2 linked regions of the Ovis aries genome follow. The protein of the gene in region 1 binds, or shares a complex with, the protein of each later gene. Links are inferred from orthologs where the notes say so. Each region holds a gene or a part of one and is shown in the gene's direction. Other genes may lie near its edges. The genes, in order: KIDINS220 and XPR1.

What was found.
Region 2: the proteins of KIDINS220 (region 1) and XPR1 are in contact, whole or in part, in a cryo-EM structure (PDB 9JXQ), measured with the Homo sapiens proteins. The link is inferred for Ovis aries from reciprocal best matches to the Homo sapiens genes KIDINS220 and XPR1. Residues at the interface, in NP_065789.1 of Homo sapiens: Glu36, Cys37, Gln39, Asp70, Trp72, Met102, Trp105, Trp110, Tyr113, Lys114, Val138, Ile142, Trp143, Gly146, Arg147, Ser166, Asp167, Lys168, Tyr169, Gly170, Trp176, Arg179, Lys180, Gln198, Glu199, Gly200, Ala201, Ser203, Lys234, Arg267; in NP_004727.2 of Homo sapiens: Leu95, Lys189, Lys190, Gln193, Glu197, Ala200, Asn204, Glu205, Ala636, Asp637, Asp638, Leu641, Leu642, Gln644, Met645, Met646, Asp647, Gln648, Asp649, Asp650, Val652, Arg653, Asn654, Arg655.

What each region holds. Positions count from the first base shown.
Region 1 is NC_056056.1:18,281,510-18,297,375, reverse strand, and holds part of KIDINS220 (kinase D-interacting substrate of 220 kDa), read left to right. Parts: intron 1-2,260; coding exon 2,261-2,359; intron 2,360-4,010; coding exon 4,011-4,208; intron 4,209-5,876; coding exon 5,877-5,975; intron 5,976-7,878; coding exon 7,879-7,977; intron 7,978-8,977; coding exon 8,978-9,076; intron 9,077-10,211; coding exon 10,212-10,389; intron 10,390-13,205; coding exon 13,206-13,370; intron 13,371-14,326; coding exon 14,327-14,506; intron 14,507-15,501; coding exon 15,502-15,667; intron 15,668-15,866. UniProt on the Homo sapiens protein: Promotes a prolonged MAP-kinase signaling by neurotrophins through activation of a Rap1-dependent mechanism. Provides a docking site for the CRKL-C3G complex, resulting in Rap1-dependent sustained ERK activation.
Region 2 is NC_056065.1:61,202,993-61,219,638, forward strand, and holds the start of XPR1 (solute carrier family 53 member 1), read left to right. Parts: upstream 1-7,828; 5' UTR 7,829-8,001; coding exon 8,002-8,070; intron 8,071-16,646. UniProt on the Homo sapiens protein: Inorganic ion transporter that mediates phosphate ion export across plasma membrane.

The sequences.
Region 1 (15,866 bases):
TTGTGGTGAGCGGGGGCTACTCTATGTTGCGATGCGTGAACTTCTCATTGTGGTGGCTTTTCTTGTTGTAGAGCACGAACTCTAGAGCACAGGCTCAATAGCTGTGGTGCACGGGTGTAGGTGCTCCACGGCATGTGGTATCTTCCTGGACCAGGGATCGAACCCATGTCTCCTGCACTGGCAGGTGGATTCTTCGCCACTGAGTCATCAGGGAAACCCCAGATGATCTTTAAAATTTAAGTTTTGTTCTTTCTCTCTCATACTTAAAATCCTAAGGATGTCAGTCCCTGTTATGATGCGTAAAGATAGTCTTTGCCTCCCTTTCTCCTGCTGTCTCTCCCACAGATTACCTTTGCTCAGCTGTCAACGATGCAGGTTCCTGAGTTCCTGGCAGGTGCTCTTTCACAGTGTGGAGCACCCTCTCCTCCTCTTCTTTGACTTCTATTCATCCTTCACTCTCAGTTCATGTGCCGTCAGTTCCAGAAAGCTCCCCAGGATTTTGTTCTATTCACTTTTTAAAAAATCCTTAATACCCCAAATGGGGCTTCTCACATGGCAATAGTGGTAAAGAACCTGAGTGCTGGTACAGGAAACACGAGATACGGATTTGATCCCTAGGTTGGAGAAGGAGATCGTAGCCTGCTTTAGTATTCTTGTCTGGAAAATTCTATGGACAGAAGGGCCTGGTGGGCTACAGTACATGGAGTTGGCAGAAGAGTTGAACGTGACTGAGCACAGCCCACATATTTGAGAAATGTTTAGTTGTCTCATTCTTTTCTTGCTTTTGGGGAGCTTTTCTAGCATCTTTGGTTTCAAAGCCCAGATTTTTCAGTTTGACACAGTCTGTCTTCCCAGGCTCACTTCTTGCCGTTGCTTTTCAAATACACTGCACTTTTGGATGCAGAAGATGGTCTACCATTCTGTGAACTTTTATGAATTTCTGTGAAGTGCGTGTCTTTGTTTATTCTTTTCCCTCTGTTAAGAATGTTACTACCTCCTCTGCCTGATGAACTCCTGTTTATTTTCTCAAGGCTCAGTTGGAATGTTATCTTCTCTGTTAAATCTCCTTAACTTACCCAGTCAATATGGATGCCTCTTCTTCTGTATTGTCAGTATTTATTCACTGTCCATACCTCCATTAGTACACAGAAGTTCTCTTAGGTAAGGCTGTTATAAAAAGTAGGCATTCATTAAGCATTCACGTCAATCTTCTATGTAGTTAAATGTCACTGCAAGTATTCCTGTGTCTCTTCATTGCCACATGAATCTCCCCAAAGGTAAAGCATTGCTTTTATGCATGATTTACATTCTCTGATGCCTTTTGAGTCATGTTGCAGCAGAACGTGCTTTTGAGTGCCGTTTCTCAGCTGATGTTTATTTTGTCAGGCATAGAGGCGAATCTCGGGAGGTGGTGAAGAGCACAGGCTGAAGCCAGGCTTGTTTGGTTCATGGGTTTTGTTCTACCTCTTAGTAGCTTTGTGATACTGAGCCTGTAATTAGCTTCTCGGGGTCCTGTCTGTTCATCTGTTTAAAATGTGATATTGTGATTTGTACTTACTCTTGTGATGAGGATTACACAAGTTAACCTATGTCAACTAGTTAGAACTGTATTTGGCACTTAGCTGTCACTATTTTTGACTATAGTCAAATTGTTTAAATTCATATGTCACAAGATATGGGAAGCAAAGAAAGTGTGTTGGAAATTAAAGGCTGTATGACTTTATGATGAAAAATTGTCAATTATTATAAAACTTAAAGTTGGTTAAAACACATTTCATGCAGTGGTTAACCATCTATTTGGGAGAAATAAAATGAGAAAAATATGATTCATCTAGGCTTAAAATTATGATTGGTGTAAACTGTAATCTAAAATACTCAGTGTGACTTTGGGACTCAGAGGGAGAGGGTGGGATGATTTGGGAGAATGGCGTTGAAACATGTATACTATCATGTAAGAATCGAATCACCAGTCTATGTCCGATGCAGAATACAGCATGCTTGGGGCTGGTGCACGGGGATGACCCAGAGAGAGGTTATGGGGAGGGAGGTGGGAGGGGGGTTCATGTTTGGGAACGCATGTACACACGTGGTGGATTCATGTCAATATATGGCAAAACCAATACAGTATTGTAAAGTAAAATAAAGTAAAAATAAAAATTAAAAAAAAATAGTGTGATTTTTATCAAAATTCATGTTGAGAGCCTAGTTTCTTTTAATATATCTTCAATAATAATTTAAAATTTGTTATTTCTTATAATAGTATGGAACCACCCCTTTGGTTTGGGCTGCACGAAAAGGTCATTTGGAATGTGTAAAACATTTATTGGCCATGGGAGCTGATGTTGATCAAGAAGGAGCTGTAAGTATCTTTTCTACTTAACTGCTGATAGTAGAGAGATATTTTTAATTTTGAGAGAGAATATTTTTTCCTTAGCACATGTCTAGAAAATTTTCCCTACAGTATCTAAATGATACTTAGAAAAACAAACATATTATCCTGGTAAATTTAGATATTATATATTACAAATATGTGCTCTTAAGGAGTTTTTGCCAATGCACATCAATTTTAGGAGGCTAAAGCTATAAGGAATATCTTTTAGTAATCTTAGTATAAAGTACTTCCCACATCAAATGATTTGAATTACTATTGTGGAAAGAATTGCTGTTCTTTCAAAATACCTTTTCTTTAATTTTTTGATATTTTAAGCTGTAACTTGTTTTCCTTCTCTGATAGATTTTAAAATATCAGAAATCAGTGGTGAAAACCTAGATAGTTTAAAAATTGGTTCAGTATATCTTAGCGACTAGGAGTTATGGATTCATTATTGAGCCCCTGCTTGTACCTGGCCTGTGCCAGATGTGGCGGGGGTACTAGAGGAGACCATCACATCACTTTTCTCTTGAACTTCTAAGAATATAGTTAAAGGAGATGATATTTATGCACAAGAAACAATATAGTCTTCTGTTAACATAATTATTAGATTATGTGAGGTAGATCATGAGGGCTTCTGAGAAGAGTTGCTAGCAAACCTGTGGCTGCAGTGTAGCAAGAGTGGGCTCTAAGTCATATTGACTTCTTGACATAATACCAACCAGCTCCTCCTATTTTCCATGGTGGCAGAGCTGCTAATTGCCGACCCTCAAGGGGCGTGGAGTATGTTACTGCTGTGTGGAGACAGAGCATGATTCTTACCCAACCCTGGAAGCCATACTGTTCACCTGCCTTTTTCTGGGCAGTTTATCAAGTGAATAAGTGGCCTGTCTCTATGTTGACTGCTGAAGAATCTGAAAAGGCTATGTTATTTAATATTGAGAGTTATGGCTTAGTTCCAGGGGCTGATATAATAACTAAAATATTTCTATAAGGGAATTGCATGTTATCTCAAACTAGATAAAAATCTCAAGAATAAATTTTAATATTTGTTTTGCAGTGAGTCAGATTCTTATATTAGGTGATTTATTTTTAATAAATTAAATGTGAAAAGTTTTTAAAAGAACCTCTAAAAATAAGATCGTTTTGAAAATGTGGTTTCTGGGTCACTATAAGAAAGAAGAATATATTATACTGTTATTGAAATATTCTATACTTTTTAATTCATTGTTTCACTTACATTTTTTGTATAGATTCTATTACAGATTGTTACTTGTTTGAAGTCTGTTAACCTTACTTTGGATTACTTCATTTAGAATGTGTTTAATTTTGAATCATCCTGTCAGCTATTTTACCATTCAGTACTTTTGTGAGAGGATTTGTTCATTGTAAATGAGTCCAAATTTAGGTTATCATTTAAAGATTTTGATGTCAGAGAACTAACACATCTTCAAGAATGGAAAATATGCTTCCTGACCACTTTTGGTATGATCATTTCTGATTATTTATGTTGGCATTTTATTATCAGAAATAATTAGTAATTATAGGTCACCTATTTGAAAACATCAGTTTTTGACTAGGGCATAAATTAAGTTGTCTGAAATGACTAATTTATTGGACTTTTTTGTTTGTACTTTAGAATTCAATGACTGCACTTATTGTGGCAGTAAAAGGAGGCTACACACAGTCAGTGAAAGAAATTTTGAAGCGAAATCCAAATGTAAATTTAACAGATAAGGATGGAAATACAGCCTTGATGATCGCATCGAAGGAGGGACATACAGAAATTGTACAGGATCTCCTTGATGCTGGGACATATGTGAACATACCTGATAGGGTAGGTTGTCTATTTAGAACTTGTCTTCCAGTGGTGATAATGATGGAAGGTACCTTAACTTCTCAACACCTTTCAAGGTTCTTCCTGCATAACATATTTAAGATGTTTTATTTCTACCTTTAAAACTAATAAGTTAAAACATATTTAATCTTTGTGAAGGGTGTTCTTTTCAGTTAAAAAAAATTATATTGTTATTGATAATGTGATCTTAAAATCATCCTTACTGTAGGTCTTGTTCATGGCTGGTGGTGTTCGTTGTTCTAAGACTTCAGGTACCACCCTTACACTTAATAGCGTTTTCAAGTTTGTATCTCTTGCTGTGACCTCTTCTCAGAAGTATACACTTGCATGTCCATTTCCACTTAAACTTTCCATGTGAGTGTCTAATGGTCCTCTTAATTTTCAGCAAAACAGATGTTTTGTTTGTTTGATCCCAAACCTGCTTTCCCCTCAGACTTCTCCATCTCAGATTGTTCCACCATCTACCGTGGGTTAAAGACCCATACTGTACACATTAGTCTTGAATTCTCAGTGACTAAAGTCACTCCCCAGTCACCTTCTATTGCATCACTCTCTTTTATTTGCATTACATTTATCTTGTTTTTTATTTTTGTTTATGTTGTCTGTGAGTCTCCTCTAGACTATACATTCTCCCGGAGGTGGGACCTTGTCTAACTTATTTCCTAGAGCCTAGAATAGTGCATGGTGCATAGTAAGCAATGGAATATTTAGAACCTTGTGTTAATATCCTAGTTTGAACCCACATTAATGCTAATATTCTCAAAGTGTTTTTGCCATGGGTTTATACTTTTAATGTAGTAGTTAAGATATTACATCGTGGCTCAGTTCTCAATGGCCTGCATCTTGAATTGCAGCCCACTGGGGCCCGCTTAGGATTGAGATGAGCTATAGCTCATGGAATGATACAACTCAAATCCGTATAACTGATTTGTAATTTAGCAGTTAAAAAAAAAGGCCATTTACAGTATTTGAAGTAGGGAAAGATATAATTAATAATGATTATTGCTTGGTGAATATAATTTTAGGGCAGAGCTGTCCTTAATGAGGTAATGAACTTCATCTAAACCTTGTATTGAGGAATGAGTCAGTCCTGGGCATTCTTGGTCTGTACTGCCAAGTAGAATATAGATTCTGTTCTGGGAACCAACCTTGTCCCTTAATTAAACGTTGTTATAAACCCACAGATGGCTCTAGCTTTGCAGCTCCCTTTAGAGTCAGTGGCTTTTGTCAGATAGCATGATTCCAACGGGTTTGTGTTATGTAATTTGCAAAGGTTCATCTGGTTCATTGACAGTCATGGCGTCATTTTATTTAATTTACATTTGTAATGAGAGGGTGCCTTCAAAATAGAATGGCTTGTTGTTCTGAGTGACTTACCTTTCTAAACTTTTGTCCTGGAATTTCAGATATAAATGTCCTCATTTTGATGTATAGTTTTCTGTCCCTTATTCTACAGGCATTAATATCAGGTATTAATACTAGTTACCTAAAACTTTATTGTTTATGGAAAGTATCTGAGATACTTTTTTCCCAAGACATTTCCAAAAAAATTTATTGTATTAATATATGATTAATCTTAACTTCAAAACAGTATTTTTTGTTTTCCTCATCAATTATCTCTGGCTGTCTTTTTTTTTGTCCTTTTAGAGTGGAGATACTGTCTTAATTGGTGCTGTCAGAGGTGGTCATGTGGAAATTGTTCGAGCACTTCTACAAAAATATGCTGATATTGACATTAGAGGACAGGTGTGTGTGATTACAGACTGTTATCTGTGACTGTAATTGGTCATATATGTTGGTTGATCATAATGTCATTCTTTGAGTTTTCATATGAAGTTAAACTCATAAACACTACTACATTTAATGGATGCCTGTATAATTAAGTTTCACTGCCATTATTTTGAAATTTCTGTATTAATGTCAAGTTAGATAGAAATGAACCATAAATAAGTTCATGTTTTTCAAGTACACCTCCCTTATTAATGACTAAATATATTCAATCCTGAAATTAATAGTTTATAATACTGAGAAATGGCAGCACTTTGAGTGTGTGTGACTTGTTTTCTTTAGTGTTCTCCCTCTGTTTGTCTTCTTCATCCGTGTATTATTCTATTCCTGTTTTGTTTTTTTTTTTCAGTCTTTCATCTCCTTTCCCCCACTTGCTTGCCTTTCTCAGGACCACTTGGTAGTGCCTGTGGACTTTGTTTAAGGCAGTCACAGCTCACAGAGCTATAAAGGTTATTCATTTTAGGTAAAAGCACTCCTAAAGTTGTAAATTTATTCAGTATGTCAAAAGCTTTAGATTAAAAAAGAAAAATCTGTACTTTACAACCCATTTTGCTGTTGGACAGTCTGTATTTCTGCTCAGTTTTTTCCTTGTATACAAATCCATTTTTGAATCAAACTAATAAACATTACGCCAAATGCCATGAGAGTCTTTTAACATGGACCTCTTGCCTGTAAGAAACATGTATTTTAGTTCGGAAGGTTTTAGTTCATTTAGTTTATACTTAAACTTACGTTTTTACCTAAACATAAAAAGTGATGCCACTTTTGATATCAGATAGTGTATGGTTGATTGCCTAGTGAAGATTCAAACGTAAGAGTCTTGAGGTGGTGAAAGAGGGCGTTAAGGAGAACTTTTGAGGGAAGGTAGAATTTGCTAGTTTGAAAAATTGGTTGAGTTTGGATGAAGAAAGGCTGAGTAATTCAGGCAAGGATAGTAGAATAATGGGATGAGAAAGTTCAGGAAAGTGGGAAAGTGAAAGACTGTAGTCCTTAGCTAATGAATACATCAGATTGTTAAGGAGGGTGGGATGGGAGATAGTAAAGTACAAAGTTAGAGGTTAGTAAAGTACAGATTAGAGTGTCAAACTCAGAAGGTTCAGAAGCTAGTGTGCAGTTTTGAGAAGGGAACTGTGTTGAGAAAATGTTGGTGAAGCAAACAGTGTGATAGTGGCTGAAAGTCATTCATTGAGGAAAAAATCATATTTTCACTAAAAGTAGGTGCCTTGATCACCTATTTTGACTTTTATCTAACTCCTTTGTGTTTGTCAATTCTGTTTTCCAACATTTTAATCAGTTTTTGTTTTTCTTCTTTAGCTCTGCTTTCAAAATCCATTTGAATCTATTTTTGGTGTTTGAACTAGATAGGATTTTAAAGGATCTGATGAAAATCAGTTTATGGATATGGGTGGAGATTAAGAAAGCTGAGAATGACAGAAACAATTCAGCTTATGTTTGTGTAGTACATTCTCATGCATTATCTTTTGAAAAGATAGGGCAGATGAAAAGCCACAAGCCAAGGTCAGAATATTTATGTGACTTCTCAAAGGACACAGCTCAAGTCCTGAAGACCTCCAACACAGTGCGGGGTCCTGAAACCTGATTGCATTCCAGAAGCATAGTTGACCCTATCAGCTGTGTGGGGTTGCTGCTTCCTAATCAAGAAGTGTTAAGTTTTTCTAGACTTCTTTTGTAAAGAATTTCCCACAAGTAAATGCAAGGTACAATAAGGATTAATATTATTTTCTATCATGCTGCTTCTTGGTAAAATATATTAATGCTTTCTGACAGAAATGTTAATACTGATGAATTTTTAATATTCTGTCTTATATGAAGTGATTGTTGATTTTTAAAATTAATACAGGACAATAAAACTGCTTTGTATTGGGCTGTTGAGAAAGGAAATGCAACAATGGTGAGAGACATCTTACAGTGCAATCCTGACACTGAAATATGCACGAAGGTATAAACGCCATTTCTATCCTTTTAGCAATACCTAATGCTGAATGTTAGTAGTGCTTTTTTTTTTTGCTTCAGTTTTTACAACTGTTTGATATTAGAATGACAGGGATTTTACCGGTAGTGTTCTGTATTAAGTTGAGGAATAGCTTTATATCCTTTTAGGAGTTGTGTATTCACAGCAGAATACACTGTGTAATTTGTTATTTTAATTAGATACTTTCAGAAAGTACAGTATCAGCTGTTCATAAACTGTGGCCAGATCATTTCCCCAGAATTAATTTATGCTCCTGTTGTTTGGAATGCTGAACATGTTTCTTTTTAAAAGATCAGTTTGTGTGGTTATTGGTTCCTCAAACCAACCACTTTAGTCTGTTTTACTCCATGTGCAAAGTATAAAACTGTATAAGACCTCAGTGATTATATTTGGCCTTCTGTGTAGTAGTTGTTCTTGAGGAAATTATATTTGAAATTCTGAAATGGAATGGCAGTTCTTCCTGAATAAAGCAGACTTATGGAAGCACCCATAATACAGCCCTGTTTCATCTACCAGAGATTTGGAGCAGTGTTATCTGAACTAGTGATAGTGACTGCAGTGCCCTGGATACCTTCTGGTTTGCAGGCTCCTTGGAATCTTTTTTCTTTTGAAACTGTGTGTCAGCTGCTCTGACCACATGTGGCTTCTGACACATTTTGCTTCTTCCTAATTCAGTGCTGAACTATGGTCCCTTCTTTCTCTTAATTTGGTTTTGAAAGCAATTAGGTCATTCTTTAATAAGCAAGTAGTGGGTACATCCCTTGCTTGGCTGAGTGACATACAAGTATTTTGATACAAGTGGTTGGTTATGGAAGGAAAAGCACTTTCTTGTTAGTTTTTGCAACTGTGTTTTCTTGAGAACATTTTCAATATAGACTGGGCAAATATTTGACTTCTTGACGTGTGTTTATGTGACTTTAAAGACTAAAGATATTAATCTGGCAAACCTTTTTATCTGTACCCACAGGATGGCGAAACACCCCTTATAAAGGCTACCAAGATGAGAAACATAGAAGTGGTAGAGCTGCTGCTGGATAAAGGAGCCAAAGTGTCTGCTGTTGATAAGGTAGTTAAAACATTTGTGCAGAGAGCATAGGGCAGTTGGTAAGACCAACCTGTATACCTGGTGGACTTAGGGGAGTCTCATTTTATTTTGTGGAAGGAGAGATTACTGACTGGGGATATCTGTGTGGGATTTGAATGCTGTGAGATCTTGGCTATTCTGAGAGGTGCTGAGGAGTGGGCAGGCTCAGTTTAAGAAGTTCCTTCCTGTGTTCCCTCTGTGGCTCAGATCCGTTACGGGGAGCTGAGCTGCATTGAGCACCATGCAAGGATGATGTCACCAGGGTGGATCTTGTTGCAGAGAAATAAGAGGGAAGGATCAAGATAAGCCACAGGAAGAACGTGGCACATCATTTCCATTTAACGTTCTGGAGCGACCAGAGTGGGCGGGAACTAAGAATTTAATTTGTTAGGTTTTGGGTCATTGTCTTTAAGAGATGTTTGTAAAGTAAAAGGTGGAGAATAAGTTTAGTCTTTGCAGACTAAATTTCTTTTTTACATGATAGTTTTCATTAGTGCTGGATATGAAGAGTAAAGTGATGGAGATCCTAATAAGGGAAGAAGGCAGGTTGATGTTTGAGAGAGGTGAAAGCTAAGGGAATGAAGAGGTGGTAAGTAGGCAGAGAACGTGGATACAACAGAGAGGACTCCGAGGGAGAAAGTGTAGAGAAAGACGATGATGGTGACCAAGGGCATGGGGAAAGACAGGTTCACTCATGGTAGTGAAATACCAATATGGACTGAGATGCTGTGTAGACCGACGACGAGAGCATTGTGAAATACAATATAAATTAGTTGAGGAAGAAGGTTGACATAGGTGGACAGTTAGTATCTGAATGGTAGATGGAAGTACTATTAACTTATGATGGAAATGGATCCAGGGCCTGTGGGAAGCAGCAGGGGAAACCTGTTCCTTGTGCTCTTTCATTCTGGAGGCTCTGGGAGAAAGAATACCTACCCAAGAAAAGCTAGGGAAGGAACTAGAGAAAGAAAATTGCAAGGAAGATAGAAATAAAAACTTATATGAAAAATATGGAGAGTTTGGGTATTCTGTTATTTTGTAGAAATATGAAAAATGTTATTCTGTATATTCGTCCATGAGAAGTGGGGAAGTTCAAGTGTCCCTTCACTGTTTACAGAAAGGAGACACCCCTCTGCACATTGCTATTCGTGGGAGGAGTCGGAAACTGGCAGAACTCCTTTTAAGAAACCCCAAAGATGGACGGTTACTGTATAGACCCAACAAAGCAGGCGAGACTCCCTACAATATTGACTGTAGCCATCAGAAAAGTATTTTAACTCAAATATTTGGAGCCAGTAAGTATTGGGTTTTGTATCTGCTTGAGGTTTTAAGAAAGAACGTCTATGAAAAAATTAAGAGAATGACAGCAGTTTTGTGTTTATCACTTAACCAGAGATTATAAAAGGTGAAAATGTTATTATTTTGCTGTAGAAAAGTAACTTCTTCCTGTCTAGAGTTCGTTTGCATTATATTGGAGCATTCTAAATTAAGTACATTCAGAGTCAACAGTAGCTTTTAAAACCTTCAAAAATCTAGCCTACTTTTCTAAAAATCTCTTCCCCCTGTTATTCTCTCAGGTAAACTTTGTTCTTTTATCAACATGCTCTGTTTTCAGTGAGTGGCTCTCTGCCTCTGCTTGTGTTGTGCCCACTCCATTCTCATGAATGTTCTTGTTAAAATCGTCTTTCTCCAGGGCTGGGGTCAACCGTCTCTTTCTCATTGACGTTTTGACTGATCTGCCTAACCAGATAAAATTTTTGCCTCATTTGAATACTTAAGCGCTGTGTTAATCCTTTTTAAATACCTATTACATATGGCCTTTTATTTTGTTTCTTTTAGAATTTTCTCCCAGATTCCAAGTTATTCAGGGCAGGTTTTCTTTCTTCTTATCTTGTATCCTCCGTAACACCCAGCATAATGCCTTGAATATTGTACTAAAGTAGTTTTTGCTTGTAGAGGATGCACATGAGACTCTAATCATTCGCATGTGGTCTTTTGAAATATGGAGCAATTTTCTACTCAAATTGAAAAGAGACATGTTAGTCCTAGAAACCAACAGGAGAGAGTAGAATCCTGCCACCTTCCAGTTTCGCTGTTTACTTATATCTTGTTTTTAAGCATGATTCTATTGAGTTTTGCATTTTAAAATATTTTTTCTGATAATAATACATGCATTAAATTTTAAGGATGAAAACACAAATATAGTAGAAAAAAGTGCAGTCTTCCCATTGTCCCTTATCTCCTAATTTGTCATTGTTTGGACAAATTGTAAATTCTTTACATTTCTATACTATGTATATAGCCTTAAAAAAAACTTGAGATACCATATTATAAAAGTTTTAAATGATTGTTGCATAATTTTTCAAAGTTTTAATAGTATGTTCAGTTCTTTATTGATAAATATTTTGTTTGTTTTACAATTAAAAGCTAGTGCGTCAGTGAACATACTTGTACAAATATCCATTAACTCTTTATTTTTAGGATTATTTTCTTGGAATAAACTTCTAGAAGTAGAACTGGCAAGTCACTGGGTATTCAGTTTTGATAGACTTTCCAAAATGGCTGTAACAATCTCTTCTTCCTTAGGCCACGTTTGTGCAATTCCCTACAACCTTGCTAACACTGGATATTTCCAGCTTCTTATTGACCTTTGCTAATCAGGTTGATAATAAAAAAATTTGATATAAATTTCCATTGTAAAATTATTAGTGAGATTGAGATCTTTTAATAACATTTATAGCCTATTTGCATTTTTACTATTTTCCTCTTTGTATCCTTTGTCCTCTTTTTCTTTTAAAGTATTTAATAAAATTAACTTTTGTGTTTTTAAGGATATTGATCCTGAATCCAGCTAAATATTGTATCTCTCTCCCCAGATTATTCTTTGTTTATGGTGATGGGAGTTTTTTTATTCCCCATTTGAAAGTTATATAAATCTGTAGTTTGTTGACCTTTTCTTACAGCTCTGGCTTTAATATTATCTTGAGAAGGGAAGCTCTTTTCCACACAAAGATTTTTAAAGGTTTTTCTCTTGTATTTTCTTGTACTTTTATAGTTTTACTCTTTATGTTTAATTTTTTGTTTCAGAAACTTATTTTTGTTGAAGTATGAGATGTAGAGTTTTAATTTCGTTAAAAAGAAGGAAAAAAAAAAAAATGGCTTACTTCTCCCAACACCACCTACTAATTCATCCTTTCCCCACTGATTAGACATGCCACTTACATTAATATCCTGTGTGAGTTCTATGGTATTATAATTATTGTAGTTTTAGAATGTATTTTGATTCTTCTCCAAAGAGAGCTAATTGTTGGTAGTCTTTAAATTTTTTTCGTAGCTATTCTTGTTTTTTAATTTTTTAGAATATTCTCATCAATTTTTATTGAGATTGCCTTAAAGTGATAGATTAATTTGGGGAGAATTGCTATTTTTTAGTCATTGACCCTTTCTGCTTGGAACCATAGAATATTTTTTTCTCTGCTTATCTCTTGTGTTTTTAACTAACATTTTATAGCTTTATTTTTATTTGTACTGTACATATTAAATTGATTCCTATGGACTAGTTTCTGTTTTAATCTTTTTATTGATTTTATAATACACTTTACTCCACATTTTAGTATCCTTGAAGTTGGACTTTGTCTTATAATTGATGGGTGAGAAAGCATTGTGTCATAATTAGGCAACATTTCTTCTCTCAGTTGAACATAATAATGATGCCTCTTGTAATTAGTAGGTATCTTAAGTTCTGTGAAATATGGTATTAACTTATTAACCTTTGAACCTATTTTTACACAGGTCTAACCTTGGTGGCTTAGATGTTAAAGAATCTGCCTGCAATGCAGGAGACTGGGGTTCATTCCCTGGATCAGGAAGATCCCCTGGAGAAGGGAATGGCAACCCACTCCAAATTCTTGCCTGGAGAATCCCATGGACAGAGGAGCCTGATGGGCTATAGTCCATAGTGTCGCAGAGAATCAGACACGACTGAGCAACTAACACTTTCAGCCTTTTTTTTCCTTTAATTGAGTTAACAATTAATACTTGAGAATTGATGCTCCTTTATAATAATAATGTCTCTTTTTAATGTTAGGGTATCATGTGTTTATAATTACAGGACACTTGTCTCCTACTGAGACAGATGGTGACATGCTTGGTTATGATCTGTATAGCAGTGCCTTGGCAGATATTCTCAGTGAGCCTACCATGCAGCCGCCCATTTGTGTGGGCCTGTATGCACAGTGGGGAAGTGGTAAATCCTTCTTACTCAAGAAACTAGAAGGTAAAGGGCTTGTTTATAAAGTGTCTGTGTATATAACAAGGTTTTCTCTTGTGTGTTTTTTAAGTAAAAATAAAGTTTTATGTATGGGTGTGTGATTGATCCTCCACCCAATCATTTGAGTTCTCTTTCTAAAACAAACATCCCACTGCATTAGAACCCCTCCGTAGCAGATTTCCTGCCTGTACTGTTTATAGATATCTTAAACTTATAGGTATCTTAAACCAGGGCCCTTCGCAGACATGTCAGCTTGTGTGCTCCCGCCTTCTAGCACTACCTCTTGTGCATGCTCAGTGCTGTAGTTACAGATGGCTGTTTGCTCTGCTAGGTGCAGACCAGACACTTATGGAGTGGCTCCTCTGTAGGAGCTTCCTAGACATCTCCCGCGACCTCTGACCTGAGACCCCACTCCTTTTGCTTGGCAAAATCTTACTTGTTTCTTCAAGGACAGGTTTCAGTATTGCCTGTAACCTTTTTTTTTTTCCCCACTAAGTTTTGTAGTAGGAATGAATGACTTGTTCCAGGCTCATTTGGGCTCACCTTTAAGAGCAGTGATCCTCAAATGTAACTGGAGGGAGAAGTGGTGAGGAGGTGCAGAGAAATGGTGATGCTATGTTTTCTGAAGACACATAGCAAAGTAATAATTTTTAGTTTTATATATGGAAATAATACTTTGTTGGTTGCATAATACAAATCTCAAAATATCAACAAAACCTTGACAGATGGGAATATATGAGAGAGGATTTTGTACATTTTCAGTAGGACGCAAGAGAGTGGGTAGGGCAAGGGTCAAGGGTAAATGTGCCTTTAAGGAATGAGATTCTTAGCAAAAGCGAACATTGGTTAGCATGGTTAAGTAGCAACATTCTAGTAGGTAAATAAATGTTTATAGTGAAAATGTGAAATTTTCAAAATGTTCTATTTCTTAAATAATGTTTTCTTATTAATTTCTCTTTCAGATGAAATGAAAACTTTTGCAGGACAACAGATTGAACCTCTGTTTCAGTTCTCATGGCTTGTGGTATTTCTGACCCTGCTCCTTTGTGGAGGGCTTGGTTTATTGTTTGCTTTTACAGTAGACCCAAATCTTGGAATTGCAGTGTCATTGAGCTTCTTGGCTGTCTTGTATATATTTTTTAGTAAGTCTTTGCCTTTTATCTTTTTCAAAAATGTAGAGAATGTAAAAACTCCTTATTTTATTTAAAACTGTATCTATGTCTGTTTTCTAAAGTCTCTAAGTGGTTTTCCTATTTAGGTGAAAATATTGATTTTTTGCTATTTTGTAAGTTGGCTTACAGGAGCATTGTCCCCAGCCTGCCTGGCAGAACTTCAAAAGCTAGTGTACTACTTGTTAATATTGAAGCAGAACTTTAAATTACTTTCCCTTTTTTATGTTAAAGATTTATATTTGAATCTGTTTTGAAAATAAGTCTTCATAGACATCATGGCATGCTCTTGATCATTTTGATCATGACTGTAATTTTTATTTATCTAAAAGCAAAGTGATAAATGTATATAATCCCTGTTTTTAGGAGTGTCTTCAGTTGCAAGAAAGGAAATAGGTTTACTGTTGGTAACTTCATAGCAGTCACAAATAGAGATAAAACCAGTCATTCTGACATTTGAATCTGAACTAAAGGATATGCTTTGGTTTAAGGCATTATCCTTCTGATTGTGTTTATTATGTCACATTTTAGTCAGCTTACTTTCTCTTTTTCACATACCTGATGATATGTTTTTGCTACTGCTGTTGGTCAGATGCCCGCCCAGTTGTGTCCAGTTCTTTGTGACCCCACAGTCTAGCCCATCAGGCTCCTTTGTCCATGGGATTCTCCCAGCAAGAATACGGGAGTGGGTTGCCATTTCGTACTCCAGGGGATCTTCCTGACCCAGGGATTAAACCCAGATCTCTTACGTCTCCTGCATTGGCAGGTGGATTCTGGGAAGCTCCAGATGTATGTTGGGGGAGGTTAATTAGTTGAGGAATTCTTTGAGGACTAATTAGGAAATAACAATTGACCATGAAAAGTGTGTAAGCTTACCTGTCACTACTTGATACTTGACTGTTTGCAGAAAAGAGGCTGCTTGACTAATGATTGTTCTGGATAATTTTTTTAAAAACTTTGACTTTTAGTTGTCATTTACTTTGGTGGACGGAGGGAAGGAGAGAGTTGGAATTGGGCCTGGGTCCTCAGTACTAGATTGGCAAGACATATTGGCTATTTGGAGCTCCTCCTCAAATTGATGTTTGTGAACCCACCTGAGCTGCCAGAGCAAACCACTAAAGCTCTACCTGTGAGGTGAGTTGGTCCCTTTGACAGAAGTAACTTTTAATAAAATGAAGCAAATGAAAGTTGATAATGCATCTTTTCTCATGTTTTTTTAAGAGACCAAAAAAACACATTGATCCCTTAAACTTTTTTAATGTGAGAAATAAACATGCCCTGGTCAAATACACTTGGAAAACTCTTCATATTACATCTCCCTCATGTACATTAC
Region 2 (16,646 bases), on another chromosome or scaffold:
AAAGATGTTCACAAATGATATTGCTAGGGAAAACAAGCTGGCAGAGAAGACAAATCCATATCTAGAGTAATTACTTACTCTGGTGTGGATATATTACTTCCTCTCTCCCCAAGTCCCCTGATGGAAAGAGGTCAATGTAGTCAATCTTGAACCAGGTATTTGACTGGTCTATCCCCACCCCAAATATGGGACTTATCCCAAATTATATTAGGGACTCAGCATTGGTCCCTCTAAGCGGTTGATAGATCAGCCTTGGTGAGGGAAAGGCAATATGTTTGAACTCTTGCATATCCTCCATCCCTGCTACTATGACCATTTGATCCATGAGCCCATTAGCCAAGCCCTGTCCATAAAACTCATGTGTATCTGATTATTGAGTACCTCCTCAGCAATAGCTATAGGCAAAGTTCTTAATCCCTATGACTCATCTAGGGTGCTCAGTTATAAACAGGAAAAACTGACTTCATTTAACTTAAACAGAAATAGATTTTATTGGATGGCATTGGGTTGCTCACAGTATCAATGTGAAGTCTTGTAAACAATTCTAAGAAAAAGGCAGAAGCCAAGAAAAGCTTATAGCCAAGAACAGCACAGAGGTCATGCCAGTGAAACAATCAGGACCCTGCCTTTGACGGTCCAGCTCTGGGCATTTACTACCATTTTCACTGCTGAAGTTTGAAATCTGCTTTAGCTTCTGAGAATATGCTCTGTCTATCATTTCATCTTTTGGTACTTTCACGTGAGACAAAATTCCTGGCAGGAACATCTGACTGGCCAAATCTGGGCCTCATACCCCCACAGAGCTGGGGTAGGGATATCTACTCACTTTATACCTATTGGGCACTGCCTCCTATCAAGACCTAAGGGATGGGGGAATTCCATCATCTAGGAAGGTCACTCCCAAACCTCACCAGTGTCTGCCATACCTTCCAAACCACAGTTTTCTCATTTGTCAATGAAAAATATCCTTTTAAAATTGTTATCCTTTGCTATATTTTAACACTTTGCTTTGTTTTATACTTTAAATCTTTGTCTTCCCAACCTTAAAGCATTGGAGTACTCCAGGGATCTGTCTTTAGAGCTCGTCTCTTTTCTATCTATACTCATTTCCTGGGCAGTTTCATGAGTCGCTTTACATATTTTTATATTCTGTTGACCCACAAACTTATATCTTGACCCAGGGCCTCTTGGATGACCTCCAAACCATAAATTTCCCCTTGCTCATTTCCATCTGCATGTCTGACAGGCATAACACACCCCAAACTGAATTCTTGAGTTTCATTTTCCGCCCTAAACCCGCTCCTTCTGCGATGTCCCCCAATCTCATTCCAATTACTCAGGCAAAAGACTGTGGAGTCATCCTTGATGCTTCTTTTTTTTTGCTCACAGTCTAATCCACCAGTAAATCCTGCTGACTCTGTCTTCAAAATACATTCAATTTCCAACCACTTCTCATCACCTCCACTGCTAACCTCCTGATACAAACCACCATCATACCTGCCTTGGGGTATTATAATACCATCTTTACCAGTGTTCCTATGCTGTGGGTTGACTCATCTTTACTGCCAGGACATCTTAGATAATTCAGCTTCAGTGGAAAGTGTTGTATAAGATTTGATCTCTCTGCAGGTCAGATCTTCACCTTTCAGCATGATCACCAGTCTCATTTGCTCAAGCAACAGTTTGACTTTATATTTATCACACATAATTCTAAGTTTTAGAAGAGTTACTTTGTGGTAAGTATAACTGTTCCCAAACTTAGAATTATGTGTGATAAATATGAAGTGTTCAGACTCAGCACTTATGAATTTCTAGATAAACTGCTGAGTACGCTGGTAAATTCTCACCCCTGATCTACACCATGCACACAGAATAAAGGCAATTTAGGAATGCTGTTCACCGCTTGGCCTCCTGCAGCCCTTCATGCTACGGAAGTCACTTTCTCTGAGGTCACTAGTGAGTCTTCAATTGCTAAACACAACAGCCTAGAAGTTATCTTCCTTAACCCTCTGTAACATCTGACAGTGTTGGTCACTGCTTCCTTTATGAAACTTTCATTGTTTTATGGCTTCCTGGACACTGCTCTCTCCTTATTGTCTTGTTACGCACTCTGGCCACACCCTAGCCTCTTTCTTTGTCCCATGTTCTTTATCAGGCTCACACCAGGGTAATCCCTGGGGCCCCTTTCCATTTTGGTGTATGCTCTCTCCCTGGGCAGACTTACCAGGACTTAATCATCACCTAAATGTGAATGGCTCCCCAGTCTTCAGCCCAGTCTTCTTTTTTCAGAGCTCTAGATCTGTGTTTTCAATTGGAGTACTATGTGTCTCATAGATTCTAACCATTTAACACATCCAACAATGCCTCAAATCTGCTCTTCACTTCATTTCTCAGTTCATGGCAGCAGTGTCTAGCCAGTCACTAGGGTTAGAGGCACTTGCCCCACCTCCTTCTGTCCATCACTATGAGTGGCTTAGGTTGTTGCATCAACAGTCAGCGTAATGTGATGGTCAAGAGTAAGACTCTGGAGCTGGATTGCCAGGGTTCAAATCCAGCTGTACCACTTACTAGGTGGATAACCTTGAGCAAAGTCCTTAACTGTTTTGTCTCAGTTTACTCGTCTCTAAAATGAGGATAATGATAGTAGCTATGTCATGGGGTCCTTGTGAAGATTATATGTTTGTATTTGCTAAGCAGTTAGAAAATTGTCTGGCATAGAGCAAATGGTACATGCATGTATGCTAAGTTGCTTCAGTCATGTCCAACTCTGCGACCCCAGGGACTGTAGCCTGGCAGGCTCCTCTATCCGTGGAATTTTCCAGGCAAGAATACTGGAGTGGGGTTGCCATTCCCTTCTCCAGGAAATCTTCCCAACCCAGGGGTTGAACCCATGTCTCTTATGTCTCCTGCATTGGCAGGCGGGTTCTTTACGACTAGCACCACCTGGGAAGCCTTTAAATGCTGCATAGGTGCTTATTAGTGAATTGGTTGCCAGTTTGTTAGTTCATCCTTCATGCCGTTAACAGGTTTTTGAGAGACTGCGAGTTACTAAGTTGTCAACCAGAGGTGAGTTATTATGCCAAGCGCTGTATATGCAGAATCTCAACCTTCACAACAACCTGTTAGCAAGTGTTATTATTCCCATGTGAGAGATGAGGAAACTGATGCATTAAGCACTAATGTACTTGGCCCAAAGTCACAAAGACTACAAATGTCAGAGTTGGAGTTTTAATTCAGATCTGTTCATTCCTAGAGCCAGAGTTCAAACCCAGGAAGGCACGCTATACTGCTTTCCCAAGCCAGAGTTGGTCACTTCACAGACTTTCCCAAAGATTCTGCACTGCCTATGCTGTCATGATCTACTCCTTAACAATTTTGTTCCAACTTGAGAGTCCCTTGGACTGCAAGGAGATCCAACCAGTCCATCCTAAAGGAGATCAGTCCTGGGTGTTCATTGGAAGGACTGATGCTGAAGCTGAAACTCTAATACTTTGTCCACCTCATGCGAAGCGTTGACTCATTAGAAAAGACCCTGATATTGGGAGGGATTAGGGGCAGGAGAAGGGGATGACAGAGGATGAGATGGCTGGATGGCATCACCGACTTGATGGACATGAGTTTGGGTAAGCTCTGGGAGTTGGAGATGGACAGGGAGGCCTGGCGTGCTGCGATTCATGGGGTTGCAAAGAGTCAGACATGACTGAGCGACGGAACTGAACTGACTGAACTTGATTTCCTGCAACTTCCCTCCATGTGGATGCCCTTTCTTTCCTCTCTTCCTCTCTCCTGTCCTTCTTTCCTTTTTTCTTTCTTTCCTTTGTTACATCAATATTTTATTGACTGCTTCAATGCCAGGCACCATGCTAAACTGGAGAAAATGAGAGAAAAGTGTGTTTTGTTTTCAAGGAGTTCATAGCCTGACACTGTTGATGATACAGTGAGGGGACTGCCCCGGGGGGATGTGGGAGCCAGAATGGGTAAGGAGGTAAGGGAATGGGGAAGAGTTTCTTTGAGGCAGGGACATTTAGCTGCCTTAAAGGATCTTTGGGTCAGACAACTTTGTGCTATTCTCTGTTGCTGTTGTTTAGTTGATAAGTTGTGACCCATGGACTACTGTGATCCCATGGATCCCACCAATCTCCTCTGTCCATGGGATTTCCCACGTAAGAATACTGGAGTGCATTGCCATTTCCTTCTCCAAGGGATCTTCTTGACCCGGGGATCAAACCCGCCTCTCCTGCATTAGCAGGTGGATTCTTTACCACTGTGCCGCCAGGGAAGCCTGCCATTCTCTAAGTCCTGAATTCTTTTTGCCTTTGGAATCTTTGGGGGTGTCTTTCTCCCTGTCAGATTGTTGTTTAAGACCGTATCTGAGTCGCATTCTTTGGGATGCCAACTTTTCCTTCCTAGTTAGCCGAAGGTCTCTTGTAGATACCTCAGTTACAGTGCATATCACATAGTAGTCTAGCTATTGGCCTATCTCGCTTTCTGACTGGATTTTGATGTCCTTCGAGGAAAAGACAGAATCATGTTTATTTTTGAACTGTCCTTCATTCTCAAAGTGGCATGGCTGACATATCATAGTACTTAGTAAAATGTTGATAAACGAAGAGTTGTCTATTTACAAAAGAAAATGTAATTAACACTTCTGATTCAGACTAAAACTATTCAGATTATCATTCTTAGTATCTTAGCACCGTGCTCTGTAGAAACTAGGTGTTCAATAAATACTAAGTATCTGATGGTTTTGTCAGTGAACTATCTGAAGTAATGTTAGGAATAGGACACTTATCATTAAATCTACTTCTGTAGATAAATTAAGATTTTCATGTCCAACTGAGTGTCAGAGCTCTAAGTGTTGGGGCTCATGTCCAACTGAATGTCATGAAAAAAATTAAAAATTGTTTGTTATAGAGCTAGTATTGAGGATTTTCTTTCTTCCCTCGGTTGGGTCATGGTTCCAGAATTTTGTGCACAGTTGAGGCACCAAGGTATGATGCTGTTGGGAGAAGGCTATAGGAGTTACTGCTATAGGAGTTACTGCCACAAACTGTAGGAGTTTCTGCCAGGAGTCTATAGTCTTCCATCATCAAAATGTCTACAAACAATAAATGCTAGAGAGGGCTTGGAGAAAAGGGAATCCTCCTACACTGTCGATGGGACTGTAAATATGTACAGGCACTATGAAGACCAATATGTGAGTTCCTTAAAAAACTAAAAATAGAGCTACCATATGATCCAGCAGTCCCACTCCTGGGCGTATCTCCAAAGAAAACTTTAACTGAAAAGGTGCACCCCAATGTTCAATAGCAGCACTATTTACAATAGCCAAGACATGAAAGCAGCCTAAATGTCCATCAAAAGATGAAGAGGTAAAGATGAGGTAAAGAATATTACTCAACCATAAAATGAATGAAATAATACCAGTTGCAGCAACATGAATGGACCTAGAGATTATCATACTAAGTGAAGTAAATCAAGCAAAGACAAATATTATATGATATCACTTACCTGAGGAATCTTAAAAAAATGATTCAAAGGAACTTATTTACAAAACAGAAAGAGACTCACAGACATTGACAGTAAACTTATATTACCAAAGGAGAAAGGTGGGAAGGGATAAAATAGGGATTTGGGGTTAAAAGATACGCACTGCTACGCATGAAATAGATAAACAAGGACCTACTGTATTACACAGGAAACTATATTTAATATTGATGTGAGAGTTGGACTATAAAGAAAGCTGAGCACCGAAGTATTGATGCTTTTGAACTGTGGTGTTGGAGAAGACTCTTGGGAGTCCCTCGGACTGCAAGGAGATCCACCTAGTCCATCCTAAAGGAAATCAGTCCTGAGTGTTCATTGGAAGGACTGATGTTGAATCTGAAACTCCAATACTTTGGCTACTTGATGCGAAGAGCTGACTTATCTGAAAAGACCCTGATGCTGGGAAAGACTGAAGGCAGGAGGAGAAGGGGTCGACAAAGGATGAGACAGTTGGATGGCATCACTGACTCAATGGGCATGAGTTTGGGTAGACTCCAGTAGTTGGTGATGGACTGGGGGGCCTGGCGTGCTGAGGTCCACAGGATCGCAAAGAGTTGGACACGACTGAGCAACTGAACTGAACTGAACTGAATAACCTCTAAAGTAAAAGAATCTGAAAAAGAAGAATGTATATATATCTGAATCACTTAGATATGTACCTGAAACATTGTAAATCAACTATACTTCAATTAAACAAAGAGTCAGCCATTCTAATCCATATCTGGTAAAGGCTCAGCAATTTCTTTTGCAGCTGCTCCTGGTTTTGTCCTCCTAGGAACACCATGCAACCATTTCTTCTCTGTGGTTGTTCCTCCTTCCTGGGAGCATGGACCTCTCTTGTCTGTCTTTTTCTCCTGGCAACATTTACCTCCAGTAGAGGGGAACTGTTATGGTGAGCAGAGGGGTATAGTGCAAAGCTGAGAGGAGTCCTCACTCCTTCTTCTATTCTCCTTTTTTTTGACCCCAATTACCCTTTCACCAGAAGTACCCTGGTTATAGTTCAAAATCAAGTCCTCCAGGTCAATCACTCCCACGCTCAAAGTAGTGCCAAGCTGTGTGAGTGATCTAACCTTTCACCAGAGGTTGAAGCTTTCTGTACAATAAAAGTCAGAAAGACTCATAGCCCATGACTGTTTTCCATCATGCATCATCCCTGTCCTGAGGAAATAACTGCAGAATCCACACTGGCATGAATTAAAAGGAAGGGGAAAGGGGAAAAATACATGGAGGAAAACACAAATATGCCAATAGTAGATGCTGATATCTTAGAATACTGTCCTAACCATTGTAGTCCCTTAGTCTTTGGGTCTCATAAAAATTGTGAGAATTACAGGACAAAGTACTGTGCATGTAAGGTGTTTAGAATAGTATTTGTTACGTAGACAGTGAGAACCTAACAAATGTTAGTTATCATTAACATTATACAGGGCTTCTCCAGTCACGAAAGGACCTTGGTTCCTGTCCAAAATCAGGTCCTCCAGATCAGTTACTCCCACACTCAAAGTGGTGCCAAGCTGTGTGAGTGATCTGTTCTGCATGCGCCCTGAGGACACTCAGCCCGCAAAATGTACTCATGTCTGGTCTTCCTGAGGGTGGGGTTCCAACCTATCTCTAGAGAATTCTCTTTGTTTCCAACATGGGCTTCCCTCTCAACACCACTTCTAATTCCCAGGAAGCTTAGTCACAAGCCCAGGTGGTAATCCCAATTCTAGTTTGGGTCCATGTGTTGTTGGCCTTTCTGGTATCCCCCGGACAAGATAATTACATTGAAATTCAGAGGCAGCATGTAATTTTTGGCACTGATGTCTTTAATTAAATTCAATAAGCATTTATTGAGCACCTAGAGCGTGTAAAATAGGGTTCCTTGAAATACATTTGGCCCTTAAGTATTTAGTCTGTTCTAGTTACTCAATTTGGATTAATGTCGATACATCTTTCAGGGTTTTATGAGGAATAAATATTAAAATGGAAAAACATTTGCACAAATCTTTGCAAATATAAACGTATTGTGTGGACTATTGCTGCTACAGTATTAATATTAATTGCAATAACAACACTTGCTTCCCAGGCAGGCGGTAGCGAGCAGCTGTAAGGCCAACAGGAGCCAGACGGAAGAGGTCAGGGGAGGTGCCTTCAGTACGTCCGGCCCAGAAGGGGCGGAGCCTTAAGGAACATACCCAAATCCTGCCCCTTACTCCGCCCTTTTCGTCGGGGCGCGTAGGCGGTTACCATGGCGATGACGTATAGAGGGCGGGGCGGGGCGGGGCTATGGAGAGGAGGAGGAAGATGGCGGGAGGGCGGCTCTGAGGAGACCTCGGCGGCGGCGGAGGAGGAGAGAAGCGCAGCGCCGCGCCGCGCCGGGGCCCATGTGGGGAGGAGTCGGAGTCGCTGTTGCCGCCGCCGCCGCCGCCTGTAACTGCTGGACCCGAGAAGGAGTGAAGGGGAGACGGCAGGATGAAGTTCGCCGAGCACCTCTCCGCGCACATCACTCCCGAGTGGAGGAAGCAATATATCCAGTATGAGGTACCGGCGGCGGCCGGGGAGTGGGAGGACTTGGAGGGGCCACCATCTCGCAAGTCCCGACCTCCACCGCCGCCTTCCGCTCTTGCTGCTTCCCCCGTGCCCGGGCGGACTTTGACCCGGTGCGACGGGGAGCCACTGCGGCATCCCAGCCGCGGCCGGCCCCCTCCGGGCCCCGCTGACCTTCCCCTCCCCCGCAGCCCCGTTGCAGCCGGGGTAACGGATATGCGGGCTGCGGGCTCCGGGCCGGGAGGGACTGCACCCCCGGCCCGGGCTGAGGAATGGTGGTGGGAGGGCGAGCCTCAGGTAGCGGAGCCGGGGTGTGAGGGTAGCCCGGGGTACAGCGGTTCCGCGCTAATCCCCTCCTCTTCCCGCTCACCCTGACCTCTGGTCCCCACCCTGGGCGAGCGCCCCCTCGCCAAGGTTAGGTCTTGTTTCTTTCGGCTCACCTCTCCCCGAGGAATCTTCTTCCTAGATTAGCCCCTCCGGTGATTTCCTTCAATTCAGGGAGCCCTTCAGCTTTCCCCCACTTGCCCACTGTTGACAAAGGCTTTGTAACAGGATCGAAACTTGATTTAAATGTGTATCACACGTGCAGTGGTTACAGTAGACAAACATCGTAATCAACTGTTTTGTTTTGATAATAAGACGGTGACTCGTGTTTTCACTGATTTCATGAAATATGTAAAGGAATCATATCTTTGGTTTTGGCTCTTCGGTTTTGGAATGGAGTGAAAGGAAGAGGAAGAAAGAAAGAGAAGAGAATTATTAACATTTTCAGGTTTTCTTTCCTAAAATTTTTGTTAGCTAGGGAGAAAAGTACTGTCTTGTAATGTACTTTTAAAACATTCCTGTGTATTACAGAAATCATGGCCCTCCTCACCCTTAATTTCTGTGATAACAGCTCCTGGACGGTATTTAATAGATAATGATAAGGAACCTTACGTTAATGAAAGGAAAAGTAAAGATAATGAGCCCATTTATGTATTCAGAAGCCAAGATACCTGAAGGGTTTTAAGCTTTGCGATAGGTTATTCTCAGTGGCTGGCAGTTCAGCTCCTGGATAGAGAGACTTAATCTGTAACCTCCGGTAATTCACATCTGTGTTGTGTGCAGGAACAAAGAGTATAAAATCAATACGAACACAAATATGCTAGCTAGATTTTATGAATTAAGATATTTTGGTTCTCTTTTTCATTTCTATTTTAAGTTCATTGAAAGGATGTTTAGACGATCGCAGAAGCTTATTTATTCATATAACAGTTGTAAGAATTGAAGAAGGCAAGGAAAGAGACATAAGTAGGTTAAACAGAACCTTGAAGATTGTAAAGTAAATTCACCTGGTAACATACAGTATTTCATTATTGCCAGAAATGAAAGGCCTAGAGTTGTTAACGCTTTCTTTCATTTAATTTTCTAATAGTGTTTTGTGACTACATTTTGTAAGAGTGAAATAAGGGACAAGCTTTTCAGCCTGTAGAGCTCTTGATTTATTGTTTCTAATAACATTTGGTCAGTTTTAAAACCTTGGCTAGAGTCCAGATGATGGTTTTTATTGAAAGGAAGTTATTCGTCTTTCATCTTTCTGGTAGTAATTTTCAGCACCACTGCCAGTTCTTCATAGAACAGGGCATCCTGAAGCAACATCCTATATAGTATGGAATGCTTCATCTGGGGAGAAGTTATAGTGACTGGTTGTATGCTGTGATTCATCTTAAGTATTACAGCTCTTAACTGTTTCATAGAATTGTATTAATTTGGAATACAGTTTTTAGGGCTGGAAGGAGAAGCGTAAGGCTTAAAGATGCAATTACCTCTTGATTTATAATACCAGCTTTGTGGCTGGAGTCATTCTGGTACTTAATTCACATACTGCATTTGGATGCTAACTAGTCCTAGATGGTTTACTTTAAGTTGATCAGAGAGGAACACATTTCATATGTATGACTGTGTTATTTTTTCCTAGGCCAATTAAAAATTATTTTGTAAAAAATGCATTAATTGTAGATTATTGAAATTTTATTCTACAGAGAGTCCTTACTCTGTGACTTGGGTCTTTTGTAAGCTCTTTATTTGGTAGGGAAAATTAATAAAGAGCACTTTTCTTTTTGAATTGGAGCCATTTTTTATAGGGTTGGGATTCTGTGTGTTGTATATTGTTTCTCAAGACCTAGTGTTGTTCCTTTAAAAATAAAGAGGCATAAATAAGAATCTTTAGAGGAATTTGGCAGCTTAGAAACTTTGGGGAAAAAAGAATATCGTGAAAGATGTCAGCATTTGCTTGAGAGAAGAACCTTTTCATATGGCAGTAAAATGTAGTTTCTCACATGTGAAGATGATGCTCTTGAAACGCTGTTAGTAGAGCAGACTTGGATTTGTTTTTCAAGTACTGGTGATGAAATTTTGGTATATTACCCATGATTTCTAGTGTAGGCTGCTTTCTACTGCTGTGAACTGTTATGAACTGTTCAGCTATTTTGGTTTTCACGTCATTTTGCTACATTAAATTTTACTTGAAACATCAGAGCATTAGACAGAAGCTGAAAATGTTGTTTTACCTCTATGATTATATGTACTATTGTGTACACACAGTCATACAGTAAGTGCTGATTCTTGTATATGTTTGTCATGAAGCCATGGGGACAGGCTTTTTGCCTTTCTTGGCTTCTGTCCTCTTTCATAAAGTAAGAATATAGGGTTAGAGCTTTTTAAGATCCATTGTAGTTCGTAGGGTTTTGATTTAACTTTTAATGGCTTTCATTTTTTGGACTGTTAAAATTAGTGTTAATGATCCATCAATATCCTGAAAATGATCAGTTTCTAATTTAAAAATGAATCGTGGAGTTCATAGACTCAATCTTCATAGGTGGAATAATAAAGCATAAAGATTAGAGCAACATGGAGAAATCATACAAAGAAAATTGGTTTGATTCATTTGTGAATAGTTTTTACAAAGAATAAACACAAATGGAAAGAGGCTATCCCTGTTTCCAGTAATCTATTTGAGTATAAATCTTGGCATGTAATGCAGAACATCAATAAATCTTTTCAAGAGCACTTTTTAAAATTTAGAATCAGTGATTGCATACTTTAGAGCTCTGTAATTGATTAATCAAAATTAATTTAGACCAGTTTCCACCAGACTGGTATGACCATGTTAATATTTTACAGAATATTAGCAAAAGAAGCAAATATATTTGGTGCCTTTGGCTGCTGACTTGTGTTTTCTTCCCTAGGGTCCTGTGCTGCTTTGGTTTCTCAGGAACCAGGAATGGTTTTGTCCGTGTATACTGTAGTTTTGTAAGGTACTAAAATAATGAGGTATCTAAATTTCAGGATTTTAGAGTTAAAATGGAATTGACGGATTATCTGTCTCCTTGGTTTTTTCAGAGGAAGAAAAGATCCAGAAAGGTTAAATTACATGTCCAGTATCATATATAGTCTCTTAAGCACAGAGGTGTAAGCATTGAGAGTCAGGTCATCCTGACTGTGTGATCCTGATGAAATCACTTCCTCTTCTGGGCTTTAGGTTCTTCATCTGTTAAGTGAGAGAACTGGACTTGATTTCTAGGCTTACAGCCCTCTATTTTCTAAGAACCCATATAGCTCCAAATTTCTGTACATTTTTATGGTTTCATTATGCTTGATATATGAAGATGATAGAACTTAAAGTATTACTATTAAAAGCATTCTTTTAAATTAATAATCTTTTAAAAAAATTTTGATGATTATCTTAATCTGTGAATGGAAAACTGACCCAATGAAGCTTTTATTGAACTCAAATAAAAAGTGATGGTAATAGTTTTAATTTTTGTTGTTGCAAGATATGGAAAGGATTCTGCATAATATGCATATCCCTTTTTTCGAGTGTAAGGAAACACCATAACATTATTGTGATTTTCATTTATAGAATTCTCCCATGAGAACACTTGTGTTGCAGGCTTCAATTTCCCAAAGGAATTATGTTGATTAGTTAGGGTTAACTTGCCTTGCTGGAACTTGTTTGAAATTTCCAGTTTGGCCACCCGATGGGGCACAAGCCACACTTTTCCTTTCAGGCACCTCTGCAAATGAAAGTATAGTATAGTATATTTAAAATAACGTTTGTAAATGAGTAGAGCAATAAGATGCCTGGTATTTACACATGTTTCTTAACTGAGTGAATTGTTGTATAAGATAGGAAGCTATTACTGTTATTTTCATTGTTTAATAGAGTATGTTAGAGTATGTTTAATAGAGTATGTTGCATCATAGCCCCAAAGGAGAGTACCCAACACTCCCATGAAGGAAGAGAAGGTAGTTTTAGAAGTGTTACTTATGCTCATTTTTATGTGTAAGACAGGAAGAAATGAAATTTTACTAACATTGAATAAATATGTTGATGAGATGACCTCATTTTAGGAGGTAGTCTGAAGGAGAGTCAAGAATCGCTAATAGTTTTCTCACTTGTTTGTTCACTTTCAGGAAATAGCAGTTCAGTTTATAGTTGCATATAGTTAGATGAATTTATGGCTATTACCTAATTTTGACTAAACTAACCCATATAAAATGGATGTGAATTAAAAAAAGACTCCTGTAAAGAAACCAATAATGTGAGTACACATGAACAACAAGAACATGGCAGAGCTGACAGTTCTACTTCTAGCACGAGCTTTTGTCAGCCAAGTTACAGAAGAAACAGTGCTACTTGAATAGACCTAACAGGCTTGCCAAAAAGTTTCAAAATAATGAAAATAATTCTTCAAATTAAGATTTTAACATCCACTGTCATCCATAGTGAACTTCACCCTAAATATATGTTATGTATTAGAGTATTCTGCATTGGAAGGTCAGTTTTCCAGCTTGTAGCCATTATCATCAAGTTTCAAAATTAACTGAATCTTGAAGTTTGAATTAGGCCTTTGAAATACTAAAAACTAGGATTTTAAAAGGCAGTGAATCTTTTCTGTTAGATTGTTCTTTAAAAGTATTGTTATTGATAATTTCTTAAGAGAGCTTAAAAATATTTTTGTATTATTCACAAGTGAAAGTTTAAATTAGTTTATTATTGTCTCATCTTTTAAAACTTCCATTTAAAAATTCCATGTTTTATAATGTACACAATTGTAGAAGGAGATAATTTATAAATAAATGTACATATATTAGAGGTGCATGGTAAACTTTTTAAAAATAGTAATGTAACAAAAAAGGTTTGGAAGATTTTGCTCAAGTTGTACAGCTTAACTGGAGGTAGTTTGTGGGTTGCTTGGTATTTATTTAATTGGCCTTTGGGAGATTGTCAAAATTCACTAGGGGTCTTACCTGGTTGTATTTTTGTTTTCAGGTCTTCCCCTTACCTAGGAAATGCTAAAAGAAGTCAAGTAGACAATGCTCATGAACAAACGCCTAAAAAAATTATTTATTCATTCAACACATGTTTATAAGGGCTCTGTTATGTGCTATAGGCTGATAGATTTGTCATTAAGTTCTATCTCTTTTATCTTAAAAATATTATCAAAAACCAGTTTTTTGTGTGTATGTGTTTGGTTTTATATTTCAGTCATATTTCAAGCACATATTTCAACATAGTGCTTTCAAAACTTAAAATGGTGTAGAAAAGGAAGATTGTAGATTGAGGACTTGGAACATGGTTGTAAATTTGGATCACTATGTAAATAATATGGAAGAATTCTTCCTGGCTTTTCAAACTTTTTACGTTATACACCTTTAAATTTAATTGTTTATAGAAGGAAATTTGCTTACCTGTTTCTTCCTATCACTAGGCAGGTGTGGTATGTGTGGTATCAGAAAAGCCTTAAAAAGTTTTTTATTATAGATCACGGGAAAGTTTAATTAACTTGCTGTAAGCATAACTTGCAACTTTCATATTATGTGTAATGAGAGGGACAGTGTGATGATTAAGAAAACATAGTCATCTCTTATTGAAGATGACCTGCAGAATTTAGAAAGACTGTAGACCATAAATAAGGAGATGCAAGTCCTTAGAACCAGTTCTGTCACTGAATATTCACAGATAATTAGTGAACAAGTCATTTTTTGGAAGATTGAAGCCCTGAAACATCATACAGGAAAATGAGAAGCTTTTAGATTATTGTGTGAATTACTTATTTAGACTAAATTGGTAAAGTTGTAATTCACAGAGTAATCCATGTGCTTTGTGAGCTTTTTCTATACCTTAGAGAAGTAATTCTTTAACTTTTTGGTCTTGGTACCATTTGAAACTCTTAAAAATTGTTAAAAAGATTCCACTATCTATTGATAATATGCTGTGTTTGAAATTAAAACTAAGAGATGTGTGAAACACAGAGTATACAAGCACACCTTCTACTAGCCTTCAGGGACGTGACATCACATTTCATGTGGTCTTTGGGAACTTCCACTGTGTGTACTCGTGAAAGAATGAGTGAAAAAAGTGCATGATGTTGTAGTATTGTAGTGGATAATGGGGCCCTGCTGCTCACTGCTCAAAAACCAATAAAGAGGCCAGGTTGGTGGAAAGAAAAGTTTGCTTTATTTTGGATGTCAGCAACAGCAGTGGGGGCGGGGTGGAGTGGGAGGAGTGGGGAAATGACATACTTATCCAAAGACCAACACCTGCCCCACTTCTGTAATCAATGGACAAGAGTTTTCGTAGGCTTAGTCCATGGGATTGCGAAGTCGGACACGACTGAGCAACTTCACTTTCACTTTTCACTCTCATGCATTGGAGAAGGAAATGGCAATCCACTCTGGTGTTCTTGCCTGGAGAATCCCGGGGACGGAAGAGCCTGGTGGGCTGCCATCTCTGGGGTCGCACAAAGTCGGACACGACTGAAACGACGCAGCAGTAGCAGCAGCAGCAGCAGGGAGGGAGCTATATGCAGAAACAGCACAGTCAGCTCTGACAGTCATCTTGAAATTGATTATCGGTGGTCTGACCAGCGTCGTTTCATATATTTTAAGTACAGATAATCTGCAGTCCCATGGTCGGTTTGTTCCTGTTTCCTTGAGGCCAGTTCTCAGAATTTTGGCAGCTTATGTCATGGCTACAGTCTGGTCATCATGCAGTTAACTTTTCCTACGTGGTAGGGGTTTTAGTATCTGTAAGACAGCTCACAGGATGTGGCTCAGACTATTCCATATCCCTTGAGAAGGGACTAAAGCTCTTTGACTATACTTTATAATGACTGGTGGTGATGGTTTAGTTGCTCAGTCATGTCCGACTCTTACCCCATAGACTGCAGCCTGCTAGGGTCCTCTGTCCATGGGATTCTCCAGGCATGAATACTGGAGTGGGTTGCTGTTTCCTTATCTAAAATAAAGCTGCGTGTTAAATTGCTTCAGTCATGCCCAACTCTTTGCAACTCTGTGGACTGTAGCCTTCCAGGCTTCTATGTCCATGGGGATTATCCAGGCAAGTATACTGGAATGGGTTGCTGTGCCCTCGTCCAAGGGATCGTTCCGACACAGAGATCAAACTTGTGTCTTCTTATGCCACCTACAATGGCAGGCAGGTTCTTTTCCACTAGCTCCACTTGGGAAACCTCAAAATTTAACATGGATTCAATGAAAGTGAAAGTGGCTCAGTCGCGTCCAACTCTGTGACCCCATGGACTATATAGTCCATGGAATTCTCCAGGCCAGAATACTGGAGTGGGTAGCCATTCCTTGTCCAGGGGATCTTCCCAACCCAGCGATTGAACCCAGGTCTCCCGCGTTGCAGGAGGATTCTTTCCTGGCATTTTCTCACTTCTCTGATCAAACTTAATCTTTGACTAAAGTTTTTCCACAGATAAAAGGCAGGTCGAGGGTGGCGTGGGTGGTGGGGGAAGGGCAAAAGATCGTAGGGCCCTGCTCCATTTCAGTATTATTATGAAAATAGTTTTGATCTTCTGGGTTCCCTGAGAGAGTTTCTAAGAGTTGCTGCCTTTGAACACACAACTCCTTTCAGAACATTTGGAGATGGCCTGAGAAAAAGCTCTCTAGTCTTAGGAAGCACAAAAGAAGATAAAGAGAATCCCATGAGTGAGAATTGTCTGGTATATCCCCCTGCACAGAATGATAGAGAAAAGAGTATTGTCTTCTCTGGGATTCTCACTTCTAATCTCTATTCCTTGAATTGAATTAGTAGAAATGTGCTCTTTTTGTCATTAAGGAGAAAGAAATTAGCATTTATTGACCAGTTAGGAACAAGGTGTCAGCAGCTTTGTTACCTCATCTAATCTTCACAATAGTTTTGTGAGATAGAATTTTTTTTCTTTTTAACTTATTTTTTTACTAAAGGATAATTGCTTTACAGAATTTTGCTGTTTTCTGTCAGACCTCAACATGAATCAGCTATAGGTATACATATATCCCCTCCTTTTTGAACCTCTCTCCCATCTCCCTCCCCACCCCACCCCTCTGGGTCGATACAGAGCCCCTGTTTGAGTTTCCTGAGCCATGCAACAAATTCCTGTTGGCTAAGATAAGATATTTTTCTGGGCTCCAGAATCACTGCAGATGGTGACTGCAGCCATGAAATTAAAGGACCCTTACTCCTTGGAAGAAAAGTTATGATCAACCTAGACAGCATATGAAAAAGCAGAGACATTGCTTTG